Linked DNA regions of Saccharomyces cerevisiae S288C. The gene in region 2 interacts genetically with the main gene of each other region. Each region holds a gene or a part of one and is shown on either strand. Other genes may lie near its edges.

Region 1 (6,578 bases), on a different chromosome or scaffold from region 2:
AATCTAAAAGCCTGTTTGGTCAATGACAGCTGAATATATACCATTTCTGGCACCTGAAACATTTGCAATCCATCTACCGAGTCTGTGTTCTTTGGCAATACTAGCCAAAATACGGAACTTCTCCTTCCCATGTTTACCACTTTCTACAACCTGAATCTTGGTAACTACACCTTTAGCGCCAGATAATTCACCTAGCAACTCAAATGATCTGAGATTATCACTAATTTTCCAAACTTTTAGCGATCCACTCCATGATCCAGATATGAATACATTCGAATATGGAATAGCGTAAAGAGATGTGATCCAAAATGGTTGTAGCAATTTCTTGCCTTGCAACTGTCTTTTTCTTAATTCTTCATCGGTTTCCCCCGAAATGTCATTGAAAGAGGGCTCAGGTAAAATACCATGGGCAATTCTTTCCGTGAAGATAGGTTTCTTCTTCGCCAGAGACCATAGACATATATTACCATTATCGGAGCCTGTTATAAAGTGAAAATCATCCACCATACTCACAACGTCAATACTACCCTCGCAGAAAAATAAAGGTGCCTCTGATTCATCAGGATATTTGACTTCTCCATCTTCTCCCTCCTTAGCGTTTTCTTTCATCCATCTCCTTAGTAGCTTTTGAGGTTCATCGCCACCTCTAAATGTTAGTCTGGTCTCGTCAGGAATCTTCCAAAGCATAGCTGTTCTATCACGGGCACCAACGGTAACACACCTTTCCATCGCCAACGCAGATATATCTTCCACTATATCATGATGCCCATAAAGAATCTCCAACTGGGAAAATTGATTTATTGAATATGTTCTTATCTTAAAATCTGCGCAGGATGCATATAACTGATCAGAATTTTTTCTAAAAGCCAACGATAAAACTTCCCCTCGGCGATCCTTTGTTGGAATAACTTTAACGGGTGATAGAGATTCTGTGCTCCATACAATTAACTTCCTATCTCTTCCACCTGTGACAACATATTTACCATCTGGTGAGGCTGCTACAGTTAAGATTTCGTCATAATGGCCTTCTGTGGTATTCTCATATTCGTGCTTGCTCGTAGGTATATATTTTGCTCCTCCTTTAGCGTATTTTAGCTTCTTTGGTCTTTTGCTAAAGTCAGTAATGTCATATTTGGTGAGTTGTAAGTCTTTGCTAACTGTATAGGCAAATAACCTACCTTTGTTCTTATCGCCATTAGATGATTCCTCGAAGGTGTATTTGTTTAAAACGGGTTGGAAACAACTAATGCAAGTAAGGTTATTTTCCCCTACCCTGGTAAAGCTCTGTTTTGCTTCAGATATTAGAAGTTTATCGCCAAAATATCTGAAGACTCGGCCTTGCTGTTCAGCAACGTCTTCTTTTAACCTGGACGCAATGATATCCTTATCCAAATCTCCAGCATCAAAATTGTTGTACTCGTCGATTGTTCTTTCCTTGAGATTGTTTAAATCTTTTTCTTCAGCGTTCCTATTATCAGTTAAAATGTCATTAGCTTCGCTTTTCAGATTCTCCAGATATTGCTTTGCAAGCCTCCTTCTTTTATCGGCTGGATTTTCACCCTCGAATTCTTCTTCAGATTCCAATGCGTCTTCTTCATCCGAAACTTCTAGTTGTTCATCTTCGTTTGAGGATGGATCTGTGATTTCTTCGTCTACTGTGGGTTTTGATGGATTAACTTCTCCTTTGGATCTTTTCCTCTTTTTCTGTTGGGTAACATCTGACATCTTTTCTAGATTTTCTATAATTTTGAAATGCTAAAGAAGAAATAAAGAACTTTGAATTGATGCTTATTTGAATATTTACGGTACAGGACCAGGTGTTACACTGTTTAATCAAAGCTCATCTATAAAATGTCATCTCTTTTTTTTTTTTTCATATTTTTTCACTTTTTCCTTTCGCGAAAATTCGCAAGGACGCTTCCAGCTCAGATCATGTTCAACGTAACTCTTTATTATCGTCGCATTCAAAGAAATATATGTTAATGTGGGAGCATTTTGAACGATGATTTGAACAAATGAACAGGTATCAAATAATTGTCTCTTGCGTATATATATTTTACATTTTTTTATTTCAATTGCTGTTCATATCTAGCTTCCCTTATATTATTAATTTTTTTAACGAGAGAGGGCAGCTCAGCTCTTTCTGATATCTTAACGGCTGCAGTAAGTGCTCTATCTTGTTTTAATTCATGAGCAAGCGAAAGAGCCTTTTCAACATTTTGGTCTGAGCATGCAGACGCAAATAAACGTAACAAAGCCTTATCATATGCACCGTTCAATGCTGCCAATACCTCATTTTCGTTGCCGTACATTTCACCGTCATTTTCGAGTGTATCTGTCAACAGCTCTGACAAAACCTTGCTGCGCAGATACTCTTCTTCCGCCGCCATAGAAACAGGAATCTGTATTTCTTTGTCTTCTTCCCCTTCTTCCGCTTCGGTGTCAGCTCCAATTTCGTTCTTTTTATTTAATATAGCTTTGTTTTCCTCTAGTAATTTACTCTTAACAAATACTGGCATTCTAATCTCCATTTCGGATGGCAACGGAAGGGGAAACTCGGGCCATATATGCTTGCCCTTAACTAAGATACAATTCAATGTGTCATACGCCAAAGCCAAGGGCCAGACATGTATATCTGTCGTTTCCTTCCCTCCTGACATCTTCCATATTTCCATGTTGCTATCTAGAATAGGGAGCCATTTACTTTCTTCTGGTGATCTCCACTTTGATAACAATAGAAGCGTGTTGTCGGACCCAAAAATGCATGGATCTCCGTAGCTTGAAAAGAACAAACTTTTGATGCCCATCGGATTAAAATTGTAGTAGTCAAGATTTGCGTCTTTTTTCATATCAGAATTAATGTTTGGTAAACTCATTGGAAGTGGACACTCTCTTTTATAGTACCTTTTACTAGAAGTACCCAATTCAGATAAAGAGTATGAAAGGCCATGAAACTGCGAATAATGTACTGAAAAAACCCTATAATTCTGAGCAGTAAGCGCTACAATTGGGGATGTCTTTTCAACAGCAAATGGAACCCCGAATTGATTGAAACTTCTGAAATAGCCTAATGATGTACCAACAATAACGCGAACCGGGGTGGCTGCCACACTTGTTATTCTCTCACCAGCTTGCAAAGGAATAATCTTGGTCCAGTTTGAATGTATGCTATCGTGTGGCCTATATTGTATCTGCCCAGTTTTGGATTGGCCAAATAAAGTGCCTTTTTCATTTAGGAAGCATAAATCGTAGCCAAATAAGTCCTCGAAATGGTATTCTCTAAAACGTCCAACATCAAAAAAAGAGACAGTTATGCTGTATTGCTCACTATTCTTGACAGTAGATACGTAGCCCACTTCATTCATTGTCAAATAACGCCTGTCAGTAAAGCCAAAAGGTGTTCCCGCTGGAGAAAAAGGCATATAACGAAATTTTCCTGTGTTTGCCAAACTGATTGGAAACGAATGAGTCTTGTGTACTCTCGAATAAGAATGTTCATTATGTGGTTTTTTGCCACTAATATAACCAGCACCATCGTCATCATCAATAAAGTCTTCTTCATCTTCGAAGTTGTATTTTCTCTTTTCACTTAATCCACTGGGGCCGTCGTGTGTTTGAGTGAACACATCTTCCGCATTCGCTTCTTGAGTAATATCTGAAAATAGCTTATCGCTTTTGTTTATATCATCATTTCCCTCTAAGTTTTCCAAGTCAGATTCGGAGTCTACAAAAAGCCCATGTTTAGTTGAAGATTCAGCAACAGATTGGTCAGGTATATTAGATACTACGGACTCTGCCAAATTTTGGACAATGGCTATACTACCGGACCAGGTACCTAAAACAAGGTCTAGAGTTTTTGAGTCCGCTTGGATTTTCCAGGCAATATTAGTAATTTTTCTTTTGAATTCCCTGGTGTAGTGGATCTCGGAAGTTTCCCAATTCCATACCGTTAACTTATTATTTAAATCTACTGCCGCAATGTAAGTTCCACGTAACGGGTCAAATTGCAAATCAATGAAATGAGCCTTTGTTGATGAGAGATTTGTGGACAACGTCTTTTGTAGGGAATATCCCTTTATAGAGAATATTTTTACTGTATCATCTGCACATGGTAGCGCAAAATGCAGACCCTTCGGATGCCAAGCCACTCTCGTGCAAATTCTATTAGCAGCACAGAATTCTGGATCAGCTACATTGTTCTCATCTGGATCAGCCGTTTCACTCAGGTCATTATCATTGTCTTTATCTATATCATCCATCATATTCGAGAGTATCTTATCTCTGTGTGTATCATCATATGAATTGGCCACTATGTAATCATTTAACTCATGAACTTTGTTTGGAATAGTAGATGTCAGAGAAAAAATTTGTACCTTACCATTTATCATTGAAACTGCTAAAATATTCATCTGTGAATTGTAAGAAATTTGAGAAACTTGTTCATCGATTTTAATGGCATGTTTTTTGTGTGTTTCATCGTCCAATTCCAAAAGGATTAGTTCTAAGTCGTCTCCTCCAAATACGGCCATTTTACCTGAATGAATAACACAGCAGTCACGTAGGGGTAAAGCAAATCTAGCCAATAATTCTTCTTGACTAGAATCGATGTTATACCTAAGAGCATCACCTTGCATTGTAGTCATCAGAAAGTGCGAGTTTGAATAGCATTTTATAGACGAGACCAATTTGGAAGAATCTAAAGTCTCTGGCTCTTCTTCTGGGTTATTTGTCTTCAGAATCTTGGTTAAGCCATTTTTATTGGCTACACACAAAGTATTATTATCTGGTGCGAGAGAGACCAGAGTTTTCCCACCAAAGTCAAAAACAAGCTTGTCTATAACTGAAACCATAATAGTACGTCTAGTATATTTACGTCACTTCTTGCCCTTCTCAATTATTTTTCCCAAGCTTTCTTATTAATTTAATCTATATGTTCCCATATGTTGGCGTATTCAGGAAACTTTATTACGCGTCGCGTTAAACAGTTAACAATTAATCATTAGTGGAAATTAACGAATCTTAGTGAAAACACCCATTCTCCAGGTGAGATTCTTTCAAGTATCAGGCAAACTACGATTTCACCTAATGAATATCACAAGACGTTTTGAATAATTTTCTGAAGCAATTATGAAACATTATGAAGATATATACGAATATGGATAAGCCTTGTACCTGTGATTTTACACTCAAATTGGACATAAGTAGTACATGAAGAGGATGATTAATTCATCCTTTAACGCGCTTGTTCGAAAATCCTTTGAAACCATGTAATAATATATCCAGATTTTCGGCTGACTTCTCATCAATGTTCATCATCGTCGTTTCGTCGTCTTCTAGACCATTTAACCAAAATTTCATACTCATTGGTAGAGAAGAATATGTGTGGTACAGCGACGGTTCAAAGTGAATTATATTTGGTCCGTATTGGCCGTCTTTCATCCCGACTGATGGTGTAGAATGTTCATCGACCAAAACATCATAATTCCTTCGGCACTGTTCTTCCTCTAACCTGAAAAACTCTTCACTAGATATGTCCACGCCTTCACCTTCTGTAGTGCTAACGTAACGTACCGGCCTCTCAGCAAACAAAAGGTTGCTGTCCCGTTGGAGTTGAAGGAAAGGAGAATCATGCACTTCTACTTTCCCATTCCATCTATCTAGCAGACTTGAATATTTCTGTTCCAGGTTATCATTTTTCTCTTCGTTCGTTTGGACACTAGTCATCGTGGTTAGAGTGGGTTCCTCACCCTTCGTATTCATTATGAGAGCTTTTAAATTAAATAAAACCGTAGCCAGCTTACGAATATCAGATGAAGCCAGTACCAAGTCTAATTTCGGTCTTGTTCTCTGAAATGTGCCATTATTTACTGCGAAAGTCGGCCTTGCATACTTAATATTGGAGAATGTACTCAATTCTGCAGTTATTCGGTTATTCCAATATAGTTCCTTCGGTGGGTATACTGTTTGATAGAATAATTTTAACTCCACAAGTATGCAGTTTTTTCGAAGAAAGTTAACTTCAGGTAAACCCATATGTGCACTGATTTTCTCTTTTCCTTGGTTATGCGTAATAAAGGATTATTTTGTATCGCAACCTTCAATTAAGGTTATCACATTTTAATAATAAAAGCTGGTAAAAAAAGCCGAAAAATCTGCCTGGACAAACATACAGAATACGCATATATACAAGCGAAGAAAGGAGATTTAGGCTCATTAGAGCAGTATCAATTTTTTAAAAAATATTTACACGTCTTTCTCTAAACTATATAAGGTGGGGGGCGCAAATTGACCATTATTTAATCAAAAGCAAATACAAAAAGAGAAACATATTTTAGTGTCATTCATAGATGCAATCTTTTTTCTTCAGTGGGGAATTATTTCCATTGCTTTTTCACCAAATGCCAGATCATTGGGGAAACCCAAAGAAACGCAGCCACATAAGCGGCCTGTTTCAAGGTTTTCTCAGTTTGTTCTTGATGAGCTCTTTTCTCCTCTTCGGAGACTTCCTGTTGAGGTAGACCAAACATTTTATACTATCTAGTTATTTGATGCCAATGGACGCCTTTTGTGGGAAACTG
Region 2 (8,135 bases):
CCTGTAGAGAGAGAGAAGAAAAGTCGTCAAGAGATGCCTTTTTTTTTTTTTTAAAATTTATCTATTTTTTGATAATATCCTTTAAACCTTGTGCTACTAGAACTCCTTTCTCATCATCGCCAGGCGCAAAAAAAAGATGAAAAAGGAATGAAAAAAGAAAAGAGAAGACCCCCACGTGCCCTAAAAATAAAGTTAGGGCATCTATAAAATAACTAGGATATATATATTGATCACCCTGAACGGAAATCAAGGGTTTTAAAGAGCCCTCAAAATTACTGTTTTAGGAAGCCCCCTTTGTTTTTGTTTTGGTTTCAATTTGTGGTGGCTAATCTGGACATCGATCTACTTGTATAGCTGTCAATATACTATGCGGAATACATGGAAGAGAAATAGTCCTCAGTCATTATTAATAGTAGACTGAGACCATACGGAGTGAACGTAGAGGCCAGAACAACAAACAGTAGAACGGTAGCAGTACTCAGTTAGTGCCGCGATGAATAGTGACTTGGAGTATTTAGAGGACGGTTTTGATCCGAATTCAATGAAAGTTGCGACTTTGAGGAGGATATTGGTAGAAAATAATGTCGATTTCCCATCTAATGCTAGGAAAAATGCGCTGGTGGGGCTGTTCGATGAAAAGGTTAAACCGCAGATCCCGCAGTTACGGAAAATGTATCTGAACGTTCGGCCCAGCGATGAAGGTATTGTGAAAATGGACCGTCCCTCATCTTCCCCATCTATAGCTTCCCCTCGTAGAAGTAGACGAGCTCGCAGGGAGAAATCTGCTTCCCCCATGGCCAAACAGTTTAAGAAGAATAGAATACTGGATGATGTAAGTAATGATGATGATGATGATGATGATGATGATGATGACAATGATAAAAAAGACGATCCTTTAATTGTACCTAGTGGAACGGATACCGATGAAGTGGACGATGAAGAGGATGATGTGATAACATCAAGCTCCAACAAATCAGACACCAATGATTTCCAGCAAAATTCCGATACTCGTAAGAAAAGGAAAGACCCTGATTCTGACGACTGGTCTGAATCTAATTCAAAGGAAAATAAAATCGATAATAAGCATTTGAACCTCCTATCATCAGATTCAGAAATTGAACAGGATTACCAGAAGGCAAAAAAGCGTAAGACGAGTGATTTGAACCAAGAGCATGGAAATGGCTCTGCCATTTTAGGAAAACTTTCCGTCAAAACACCAATAAAGAACACAAATAGAAAGCCAGTAAGCATGGATAATTTTAACGATTCGTTGACTTCAAGCGGTACGGAAAATGATCCATTTGTACCGAACATACGACACAATCCAAAAGAGCTCGGAACTGCCAATGGAACAGGCCATAGCACACCCTTGAGTAAGTTAAAAGTTTCTGCCTCATTTGCGGATAAATTGCCTCAAAAGGAGGTACCATCTACAATACTGGTTCCAGAAGTGGAACAGCAAGAACCTTCTCAGAGTGAAAGAACACCGTCTTTGTTTTCGTCCGAAGGCTCTGGCTCAGAGTCGGAAGCACCCTTGCTTCCAGAGATCACCACGCCAGGTCCTCATCAGCCTATGGGTAATACCAGCAATAATGTGGTCGAAATGATAGATACAGATAGTAGTAACTTGGTATCGGATGAAGATGAAGTTTTAGTGCCTACAAGGATCGAGACTCCCCAATTACCCACAGAGAAAGACGTCGAAAAGTGTGAAGCAAGAGTGCAAGAACTTCAAGAGGAAGTAAATGAGCAATTAGAGCATGAAAATGGGAGTGAATTTGATGTTAAGCAAGGATCTGGGAAGGTCGGGAACAGGCATAAGTTCAAAAGAGCACTCAAATTTTTGAGCAAATCATTACTGGCGCTATTTTTATTTTGCATATTCATTGTTATTCCTCTCTTATTTGGCCTCTGGTATAGAGAGCAAAGACTGCTCATAGGTTACTGTGGGCATGAAGTACCATCCCATCGAGTTAGTGGCAATTCCTTCGAGTTTATTCAAAAACTGGATAATTTGTTGCAGGACTACAGACCGAAATGTATCCCTTGTCCACCCAATGGTATTTGTTATCCTTATTTGAAACTTAAATGTAAGCCAGATTACAAGTTAGCACCATCTAGACTTGACTTTTTGGAAATTATTCCTGCACAAGGCAAATGTGTTAAAGACGACAAAAAACAGCAGTTAGTTTCCGAAGTGGTTGAAAAATCTTTAGAGTTTCTGAGAGCCAAAAATGCACAAATTTCATGCGGTGACGGAAAAGACGACATCGAGAGTGGTATGACGGAAGATGCCCTCTATCAAATATTTAATGAGGCTAGAGCTCCTTGGATTCGCGACGATGAATTTGAGGACCTGTGGATCCAAGTTATCAAAGATTTAACTGAAGAACCAGAAATATTATGGAGGCAAGTGAGTACAATTTATTATCTTACAAAAATTATTAAACCTGTTATTATATGATAACAGTTTTAATTTTTTTTGAATTTTTTTTTGTTTTTGATTTATTTACTAACATCTTTTCCTAATTTTCTCTAGTTATCACCCACTGACAACAACATTGGCGGAAATTCCAACAACATCATTAAAACCAATGACGTTCCGAGACAGAAGAGACATCTTCCAGAAAAATTCATCTCCAAGACGAGGAATTTTCGGTCGACGTCCAAGAAATACATTGGAATGAAGTGTCGATTTGAAAGAGAAATCTACCAAACGTATAAAAAATTTCAAAGGCCAATATGGCTAATGTTTTTACTGATAGTCATTAGTAAAGTAATCGAGATCAAGCTGAAGAATTATTATAGAAAGAAGGCAAGAATTGAAGAACTCGTTACTCAAACCATGGAAAAATTGAAATTCCAAAAGATTAAATCAATGTCCGATCCGAAAGAAAACGCGTATTTGAGCATAGTTCAATTGCGTGACATCTTTCTTTCTGATATTGTCGATCTGAAATACAAAAATCAATTATGGTCAGAAGTGGTAAAATATTTAGAGCATAATAACAGTAATATTAAATCGAACTTAACTGAAATTCGAGGTGAAATAATGAAATGTTGGGAATGGATAGGTCCGATGGAACTCAATGAACCTAAGGATTCCGCTGAAAACAAAATATAACCCACAAAATGAAACTCAAACGTAGTTTTCTCTTCTCAAACTTAATGATCTATTGTTTTTCCGAGTTGCCATATTTGTATAGTTTATTCTATTTATACGGTTATCCTAATATCTGTTATATAATTCTTTATGTAATACTTTTGTAAAGTTATAATGAATCTAATCCTGAAAATGACTTGTAAAATAATAAGAATTTTTTATTCGATTTAAAGTAAATATTAATACGACACATGGAGGAAAGAAAAACTAGACGATATAGGAAGAAATACAAATAAAATCAGAATTGAAAGAGTAACTAGAGGATTTTGGAGTAATAAATAATGATGCAAATTTTTTATTTGTTTCGGCCAGGAAGCGTTTCAAGTAGGCTTGCGTGCATGCAGGGGATTGATCTTTGGTCTTCCAACTTCTCTTCGTGTCGATCTTTGTTGCGGAACGGCTGGCACTGCACCATTTCCATTAGGATGTACTACCTTAGAAGGCGGCGCAAACCGTGGAGCAGCTGCAGGCGGAAAAGCTGTAGCGTTCGTTTTAATTGGTGTGGTTTCACGCGGTACTTGATTCCCAGCCCCTTCTAGCATATGAGGCCCCAGTTCTTTATCATTGTTCTTCATGCTCAATTGTTTTCCCTTTGGTGCAAATTTTTCATAGACAGAATCCCTCGCGGTGGTCATCGTTTTGTCTTTTAGCACACTCGCTGGAATATGCTTGGACGTAGTCTGATCAACGGTGTGCCTAATGGATTGTGCCTGGTATTTGGGATCAAAAATGCTCTCTTCACCAATATAACGTTCATTTTGTACGGAAGTTGCAGCCTTAGCTGTAACAAAGGTGATTTGTTCTGCCTCTGGGTTTGAGCTAGCAGTTGGGCTTTGCTTAGCTACAACGGGATCCTTCTCTGTCGTTAAAACATTACTGTTTGTGTTGCCCATATTTATCAAGTCGTCGTCTTGAAAATCATCGCTAAACATAAGAGAATCATCGAGAAGGTCATCTTGATCCTGTTTGGAAGCATCGAGAGATTTGAGATCAGTATCTTTATTACTGCTGTTTTTACTGTTAGCCTCAGCAGGTGCGGCCATCATTGGGGTACCTCGACTTACTGTATTTTCTATTTTCACCAGGTTCTTCGTCGAGTCGGGATTGGTATTTGTAACTTTAGTCAATTGCCTTCTTTTATTCGGGTATTGTTGTTGTTCTTGATTTTCATGCAAAGTATTCGTTCTTGAGCTTTCGCTGATTTCATCCGTTGGCCTAAACAAATTGTTTTCGTCAAAATCTGGCGGATCGAACTTCACCTTATCGATCTTTGCCAGAAAATCTTTATCGTAAAGACAATTTCCTAGAGCATTACCAAACCCTCTCAAAGATCTTTTCAAGGCATCCGTAACGGCAGATTTCTTGGCCCTTTCGAAAGCGGCAGGTTTCCGTCTTTCGTTCTCCACGGTACCATACCCAATATCTTCCCTATAAGTCCCGCTAGTCAACGTAACACGAACAATTGCAGTACACCCTATGCTAAACTTTCCCTGTCGCTCATCCAAAAAATCGATAACTACACTTTTTACCTCCGTAGACCAGCCATTATATCCAAAGATTTGATTAGCAAGATTAATTACTCTCCAACCTTCGATGTATGCAATCCTGCTTGTTCCAAACCCAACTCTCTTGGAGATATACTCAGGTCCTAATTTCTTGTCCAATTTGGTCTGTATGTCCTCGGAATGGTTACCGAAAACGGGCTTCTTCTCATCCATATCCATAATTTCATTCATCAACAACACACCAAAGCCACCAGAACCTTCAGCAGTTCTTGGCAACCTCCTTGTTTGCATTTGTTGATTCTCAGTGGCAAAATAGCTTAAAAACGCCATTCGATACCGGTCGCGTAACCCGCCCGCCGCTATATTTTTCGTCTTTTCTTAACAGACTAAAGAATATAATAACATCGAGAATCACTAACGGGAAGAGCAGACTCTTTGGCGATGAGTAAGTGTGATTGAGAAGACGAAAGGACATTACAGGGCAAGCAGATGATACAGACGCCAAGGGAGTTGTTGAATCCACGGTACACGTACCATACCATCTTTAGCGACGTGTGCAAGACCCGATTCAACCATTTAGTTACGAGGTTGTTTTTCATATGTTCTATTATCCAAACTGTGGTGATTTCACTGCTGGCGTTGCCACACTCACCGTTATGGGAACTGGCATTGGCATTTATTCCCAATATTTTAGCTCTTAACCTAGTTTCCCTTTTGATCATTGTGACAAGAAAAAATTACATGCATGTAAAGAATTTTGGGTTCGCTAATTCACTTACTTTCATTCTAGGCCAATTGTTATCAGTAAAGTTTCTTGTATACCAGGGAGTCTATAGCATGGGCAGCATCCTTTTATCATTCGTACTGGGTGTGGTTTTCGGACGTGGCGGATCTGGATGGAAGCCATACTATAAGCTGTTTATTTGGCTAGTCGTTCCCACGATTTACAACCTACAACATCATGTCACTGACGCTGACAAATTGTCGTTCAACTGCGAAAACTTTTTCCAGGCCCCACAAGACTACGTATTAGAGCGTGTCAAGAGGATTATGGAGAAGTCAGTCATTCTAAGTGTAATCAGCATGTTCGTATTACCAATCTTTACCACAGTATTTTTTTCCAGGCAAAAATCGGGATTATTTGATTCATTTACGAATGGCGTGCTAGCTGTCACAAATTTACTAATAATCTCCTGCATTATCTTCATCACTTTCGAATTCATAAATATAGCATTTGACGCACATATGTCCATAGGTTGTCTGCACAAGGGCAAGCTAATTTCGAATTTGTCGTCGACGCCGATGGAAACCCTGCTTAGTGGGCTTTCTGCAGACAAGCCATTTACTAGGTTGACTGCCTACCAGGAACTAGCGTATAGGGCCACTTCACTGGATCCATCATTGCGAGCACCAATATATCACTCCAAGTTCAGAAGCAGTAGTGGTAATACTTGGTCATTAATCCTCAATGAATGCTTGAAGACCATTCAGATAAACAATGAAAAGGTTGTGCAGTACCTAAGATCAGTACAAGATCTTGGGGGCTCTGCAACTGCTAGACATAAAAAAAAAGTAGAAAATCTAGATTATATGTATGAGAACGGGAAACTAACAAGCGCCAACGAAAGACTCTTTGGGAACCGACCCTCTATGATGGCGCCATTACGGGATAACGGCTTATTAGATGAATCACCAAACAGGCTGAGGGTAAGAACTGACGATAGTGTATTGCTTAACCGCGGAAACAAGAAAAGGCATAGGTCCTCGTATTACGACAACGATTTAGATGAAACGACACAAACTTTTAACGGCTCTATTTTCACCCACGAAACAACATTTATGACCGCTATGCGTCTGATGTTAAAAAAACTGAAAAATTCTATAATGTCGTTTATTTTCCCTTCCTACGCAGAAAGACAATCATCTGATGAAAGCGACAATTACAGACTATTACCAAATGGCTCCAACAAAGCCCAAATCTCGATAATTGACATATGGTCCATTTCCAAGAAAAGGCAAGCTGAGAAGCTGGTTCCATTGCCCATATGCCACGCAAATAGTGTGGTAGCACTGACAGGACTGCTGATCCGATCAAAGACAGAAGATCCAAAAGGCGGTATCATTGCATCCGTTGGGGATATTCTTAAGACTTTGGAGAGGTCCATCTGTGCACTGGGTGAATTTGCCGATTGGGATCCGGAATCGATGGCATACACTGCCTTCCAAACACAAAGGACAGCCCAAGATAGAGTACAACAAGACAGTGAAGACGAAGATAGCATGAAAGACACTACTGACATGATCAGTGTTCTTTATCAGCTGTCCACCAGTGCTTTTATGGAGATTGTACTTGAATACAATGTTGCTCTGAACGACGTATATTTGGATGCAGACGTGGCCAAGTTGGCGAACTGGTTTCTAGAAGTGTACGCCTCAGGCAACCCTAATGCTACGTAATACAATTCAACCGAGGAGCACCCCTCCTCCCATTTCATGTAAGATAAATACAATAATAAAAATTGGAATACCGCACAAATGCTTTAGTAGAGGCCTAATATGAGCAAAAAGAGCAAAAAGCTACCTTTATCGTTTCCGGGTAGCGAATCAAGGAGGGCCCTTTTATGCTTCAAGAATAATAGTAAAGAAAAGTATAGAGAAGAGGAAGCAATGCTTCCTATCGGAATTAATTCAATTCCTGGTACTAGAAGCGATAACATCACAGTTATACGTTCAAGATGTCACGCATGCCATCTAGTTTCGATGTTACGGAGAGGGATTTGGATGATATGACCTTTGGCGAAAGGATTATATACCATTGTAAGAAACAGCCATTGGTACCCATTGGGTGCTTGCTGACTACAGGAGCTGTCATTCTGGCTGCTCAAAATGTTCGTCTTGGTAATAAATGGAAAGCTCAGTACTACTTCCGTTGGCGTGTGGGTCTACAAGCGGCCACACTAGTCGCACTAGTCGCAGGTTCATTTATCTATGGGACTTCTGGTAAGGAACTGAAGGCGAAGGAGGAACAATTGAAGGAGAAAGCCAAGATGAGAGAAAAGTTATGGATCCAAGAGCTGGAGAGAAGGGAGGAAGAAACGGAGGCAAGGAGAAAAAGAGCCGAATTGGCAAGAATGAAGACCCTTGAGAACGAAGAGGAAATCAAGAACTTAGAAAAGGAACTAAGCGACCTGGAAAATAAGCTTGGAAAGAAGTAATTTGGCTCTTCGATTTGCTGTAAATAAATTATGATGAGAGACAAAAGAATGAACAGCTAATTTCGACTGTAATGAAGAAATGTAATAAAAAAATTCATGATGCTATGTCCAGTATTCAAGAAAAATAATTACAAAATAACAGCGTACATATGAATATTCTTTGTTTTTATCTTGTATAACTATCACTTAAAACATATTTATATCGATAGGTAAATGCTATATCAATCGCTCTATTTACTTGATTTTTAATAT
Region 3 (5,074 bases), on a different chromosome or scaffold from region 2:
ATTATCAGGTGTAAGCAATAAGAAAGAAAACGAAAGTAACTCCCATCCGTGGGAAATTTCAAGAAAAACTTAGAGTATCAGCGATCGTTTTAACGAAGGGGGATTCGTAAATTTCATTAATCGACCAACGTTGGTTCTTCCTCGTTAGCGTATTTTCCACAATCTGTTTTCCCACATTAGTTTTATAATCGCTTAACCGGTACCATCTCCAATCAAACCTGGCAATACGATGTGACGTAGCTCTGCTACGCTGTCTTGCTGAAGCGTTTGGAGGAGGGTCAAATGGTAATCTGTCCTCAAACAAGCTGTATAGTATGACACCTAAGGCCCACGTGTCGCTTAAATGGCCATCGTAGGGAACTCCCATCAGGATTTCTGGTGAGACATAATCCTCTGATCCACATCTTGCTGTACACATCTCATTGTTCTCAATTTTTTTGCAGAGACCAAAATCTGCTAGCTCAATGAAATTTTGCTTGCAGTAAATGGGTGAGTCCCTAAAACTGTTGATATCATCAAAACTATATTTCAGTAGTATATTCTCTAATTTTAGGTCCCGATGAATAATACTGTTTTCGTGCAAATATTTTACTGCCAGTACTACTTCCGTAAAAATCCTTTGAATCAGCCACGCTTCTAGTCTTCCGTTACGGGCCATGACGGCAGCTAATAAGTCTCCTGCAGGACAATAAGACATAATCATATCACAAGGCGGCAGAGCTCTTGGAGTTTTTATAATCAAATCGCATAAAGGTTTTTTGCTAGTAACAAAAATTGGATTGTTTATCCCAAGTAGTTTAACTATACATGGGTGATTTAGTGATTTTAGCACCTGCAATTCCCTAGTCAGAGAATTTTCCAAACGGGATAAAGTTTCCTTATATCGTAACGATGTATTGATTTGTTCAACATTTGATAATTCCTCGGGATATTTGAGTCGTTTAACGGCCACTTGTTTCAGTTTAGGATTGCTTTGGTCCATGAGTTCATATAAAAGTACGGTACTAAAATTTCCTGAACCAATGGGCCTGACCTTTTTCCATAATAACGGGCGATCCCAGTGATCTAAAAGAAATCCCTGAAATATATCATCGTCACACTTTTCGGTAGAACTACTACTTTCGGGAAAATAAGGTTCTTTCGTGTAGTTATCACTATCAACAGAATCATTTACTAAAGCCTCTTCAGTCACTGTTGGTAAGGAAACAACCCTTTGGGGGGATAAATTAGCTGGTGCAATAAGTTCAGAAACAACTCTTTGGTTTGGTTGTGTAACAGAAAGCATATCATCCAGTAATCGTGCATGACTTCGTCTTTTGGGTATATTCAACGAGGATTGATCTATAGGTGACATTGACAGATTGCCTGGGGATAACGGAGTGTAGGTCATCGGTGTAGGTAATGCTTGGACATTTTCAAACGTCGGAATAGATACAGTCAAAGGTGTACTGCGAGAATCACCAGTGGTCCCTTCAGTGGATGCCATTTTTTTATCTTCCTCACCATTTTCATCAATCAATGCCTTTTCGTGTTGATCGCCAATGGAGTCGGGAAATCCTTCTTGTTTCAACCGAGGAGTCTTTGGTTGTGAATATATACTACTATATTCATCCATTGTCGGTATAACCTAACAGCTGCTGTGGGTATGGATGAATTCGAAGCGTAGATGTGATTACTATCTCAAAATATACTTGTCTAATTGTGTAAAAAAGAAAAAAAAGATAAAGAACACACCCCGCGTTGAAGATTACAAGTAAAAAACTTTCTATGCTTAGGAATAACGTTCCATAAGAGGATGGTGTGCTCAGCCTTCTTAGTTCATTTACTGGAATGTATTTAACTTTACCCTTTTCGTCTGCTAATCCATCAGTATGTGAAAAATGAAAATCTAAAAAAAAAAAAGGCTGCCTTATTCTGTAACGCAACGCGAAACATCTATAAACCAAGTAAGTAGTTTCTATGAAATGGGCAACAGCATCTTGGATGACGAAGGGTAGCATTTAGTTACGTACGTTGAGATAATCTACAAAAATTGATTACGTATTTAAAATTCTTCTCGCTTCTCATTATTCTTTCTTAGTCTTCCTCTTCTTTGTCATTTGTGACAAGATATCATTATCGCTTGGCTCTGCAGTGGCTTTCTTCCTCTTGGTGCCCCCAGCTCGCTTCTTTTGTTTAACCTCAAACTTGTCTAACTGTTCCTTACGCGATTTAGCACCTAATTTCTGCAGCGTATCATTTTTTTCTTTATACTCCTTGTCTTCTAACAATTCGCTCTCACTCTTTGATTCCAACCACTCCATAAGTTTGATTTCATTACCATAGCCTTCATCATTTTCGTATGGAGTTTCCAAGACAATAGGGATACCCTGCAGGTATTCAGAGTGCGCGATCATTCTAAACACATCTATACCCAAATAACCTTGACCCAAGCGTTCATGCAAATCTCTATTTGCTCCTAAAGGAGCCTTGGAATCATTTAAGTGAACAGCACTTAGATATTTGAACCCTATTACATCATTGAACTCTTTCCAAAAATTGTTAAACGTTTCAGTGGTGCTGATATCGTAGCCTGCTGCAAATGTATGGCATGTATCTATGCAAACGCCGATTCTTGATTTATCTTCAATCATTCCAATAACCTCCTTCAAATCTACCAGAGAACTTCCTACTAAATTTCCAGTACCAGCCATATTTTCTAATACAATTTTAACAAATTTCGTTTCCTTAATTGCTTTGTTCAAATATGAGGCTAGTTGTTTTAACTGCAACTGATGGTCTCCTTTCAAAGTAGAACCTGGATGTAAGTTATACAGGCCTATCCCTAATTGCTCACACCTGTTCAGATCGTCCATGAATGACTCATAACTCTTTTCTGCCTTTTCCCTATCCGGATTAGCCAAATTAATAAAGTATTGGCCATGCGGTAAGACGTCCGTCAATGGGTTATAATTGTAAGTTGCACAGTTTTTCTTAAATTTATCTATTTCCTCCTGTGTATACTGCGGAGAAACCCACTTTCTTGGAGATTTTAAAAACATGGCAAACGAATTACAGCCAGTGTTAAATGCATTAGTTACACTATTAGAAATTCCACCGGCACCTGACATGTGCGCACCAAATTTGTATTTCGAGACAGCAGATCTAACAAAGCTAGGTGTCGAAGGCATTACGATGGTTCCGATATGCCAAAAGCTTATTAATGTTGCGTTTTGTGTTTCTTATTCGGAGTTTGTCATCTTATATTTACAATGATTTCCAACATGTAAAGAAATGAAGAAAAAGAAACCAGGTAAGAATGAAAAATTCCACGTTCAAGTTCCCAGAAAAACTGGCAAAAAAAGAGAAGTATTAGATGAAAAAAGTTCGTGTATACAAATATCTATGTTACATATATGCCAAGGTGAAGGACCAAAAGAAGAAAGTGGAAAAAGAACCCCCTCATCTTCTTCCCTTTGTGACTTTATTCTTATTTTTGTTCAATTTTTTATTTTCTTGTGCTCTTTTCGCCGCAGCAGCCAGCTGTTCCTTTGTCTTAGGCACCACTTGGAAGAACCCATCTAACCTACCCTGAATGCCAGATTTCAAGCCTTTTTTCAATCTTGATATACCAGATTTAACTCTTTCTTCACTGAATTTCTTATCATCACATAAATACTCGATAAGTTCCTTCTCCTTTGGTGGCGACCATTTCAAGTTTATTTCGTTACCATCTATAACTTCAGGGTCAAGAAACAGCATTCTTGCTTGTTTGTAAGGCCAGTCTTCTGGGATTTTCCATTTAGTGTTGTTTGACTCCCCAGATTCAATAAACTCCACGATTTTTTCGATGGATCCATGCGTTTTTATCAATTTTAAGGCTGTCACTGGACCAACACCTCTGATGCTTTCACAGTAGTCACAACCAAGCATTATGCAAAGATCAACAAACTGCTCTATTGTCAAGTCGAGTCCTCTCAAAACTAATTCAGTATCTATTTCGTGAATCGGTTCCTTCTTGGCCTCTGAAAAAGTCAAATGTCTCAACAAGAAGGGTGTTCTATAACAGAGTGTGTCCATATCTTCACTTGCTGCGGCATACACCTTTCCCTTCTTTGCCAACTCAGCACATTGAGCCTCAGCTTCCGTTGGCGCTATTATATATGGGATTCCCATTAGTCCTAGTAATTTTTGGGCTTCTTCATTATGCTCTTTTGAGACCTTCACCAATCTTCTTTCTTGCTTCATCTTTTCCAATTCTGTTGTTGCCTCTGCCAGTTTTTTTTCTGTTTCCACCCTTCTTGAAGACCGCTTTGTCAACTCATGAGATTTCAAATCTGGAGGTTTGCCGTCGAAGACATAACAAGGCTTGATACCGTTATCAATCATTCTCAGTGTCCTATAAAACATACCCATCAAGTGTGACGTTGTTTCACCGGCTTCATTGGTCAACTGCCCACCGTCTTGCTGTCTTACAGCAATTAAAAACTGATATAGAGACATAGAGGCATCGATGGCAACCTTTCTGCCAAAAAAGCTCTTGATATCGCTTTTCCTGATAGCAGAGGGAACATGTTCCGATATAATTGCATTCAAACCTTTAATACCCATATTTTTTCTTCCGGTGTCCGTTTCCTATTTCTTTCCAATGTATGCTGTCAACGCTTTTCATCGATGTATATAAGGAAGAATACCTCATTATAATACATCAAAACCTTCATTTGCGCGATGTTACGCGTCGCGTTTCCTATAAAAAATACATAAGCTAGTGAATAAAAGCTTTAAACGCGTTAGGGGGATCTGCAATTAAAGTAAATAAATGAAATAAATGAAATAGATGAAAAACTGGTTACACTAATTATAACGTTAATAAAACTAGTTGATAATCAAAATATTGCCATAGCTAAGCCAATAGTACAGCGTTGGCTTTCTATCATAACTTACCAGCCGGGTGCCCAATCGGGTATCTGTCACCGAAAGTCACTGTTAACGAGGTGTGATTCAGCCGGGTACTAGTCTAGCATTTTTTTTCGCCTGTTTTTTTCGTGAAAAACGAAAAGTGGCAAGCAAACTTATATCACTTTCTACTTCTTTC

What was found. A genetic interaction does not mean that the proteins touch.
Region 1: mutations in RAD52 (region 2) and CTF4 impair growth when combined (synthetic growth defect), as found in Saccharomyces cerevisiae (6 studies listed by BioGRID, with this or other methods).
Region 3: of RAD52 (region 2) and APN1, changing one enhances a phenotype caused by changing the other (phenotypic enhancement), as found in Saccharomyces cerevisiae (5 studies listed by BioGRID, with this or other methods).

The regions. Positions count from the first base shown.
Region 1 is NC_001148.4:797,506-804,083, reverse strand, and holds CTF4 (chromatin-binding protein CTF4), read right to left. Parts: upstream 4,851-6,578; coding exon 2,067-4,850; downstream 1-2,066. Other genes in the region: ribosomal RNA-processing protein RRP9, read right to left, coding at 4-1,725; MSS18 (Mss18p), read right to left, coding at 5,227-6,033; TOM5 (Tom5p), read right to left, coding at 6,375-6,527. UniProt on the Saccharomyces cerevisiae protein: Accessory factor for DNA replication. It plays a role in accurately duplicating the genome in vivo.
Region 2 is NC_001145.3:209,032-217,166, forward strand, and holds RAD52 (recombinase RAD52), read right to left. Parts: upstream 4,900-8,135; coding exon 3,484-4,899; downstream 1-3,483. Other genes in the region: SRC1 (Src1p), read left to right, coding at 494-2,413, 2,540-3,124; NDC1 (Ndc1p), read left to right, coding at 5,158-7,125; respiratory supercomplex assembly factor RCF1, read left to right, coding at 7,404-7,883. UniProt on the Saccharomyces cerevisiae protein: Involved in DNA double-strand break (DSB) repair and recombination. Promotes the annealing of complementary single-stranded DNA and by stimulation of the RAD51 recombinase.
Region 3 is NC_001143.9:221,286-226,359, forward strand, and holds APN1 (DNA-(apurinic or apyrimidinic site) lyase APN1), read right to left. Parts: upstream 3,171-5,074; coding exon 2,067-3,170; downstream 1-2,066. Other genes in the region: serine/threonine protein kinase PRR1, read right to left, coding at 59-1,615; multifunctional nuclease RAD27, read right to left, coding at 3,442-4,590. UniProt on the Saccharomyces cerevisiae protein: DNA repair enzyme that cleaves apurinic/apyrimidinic (AP) sites and removes 3'-blocking groups present at single strand breaks of damaged DNA. APN1 accounts for > 97% of both apurinic/apyrimidinic (AP) endonuclease and DNA 3'-repair diesterase activities.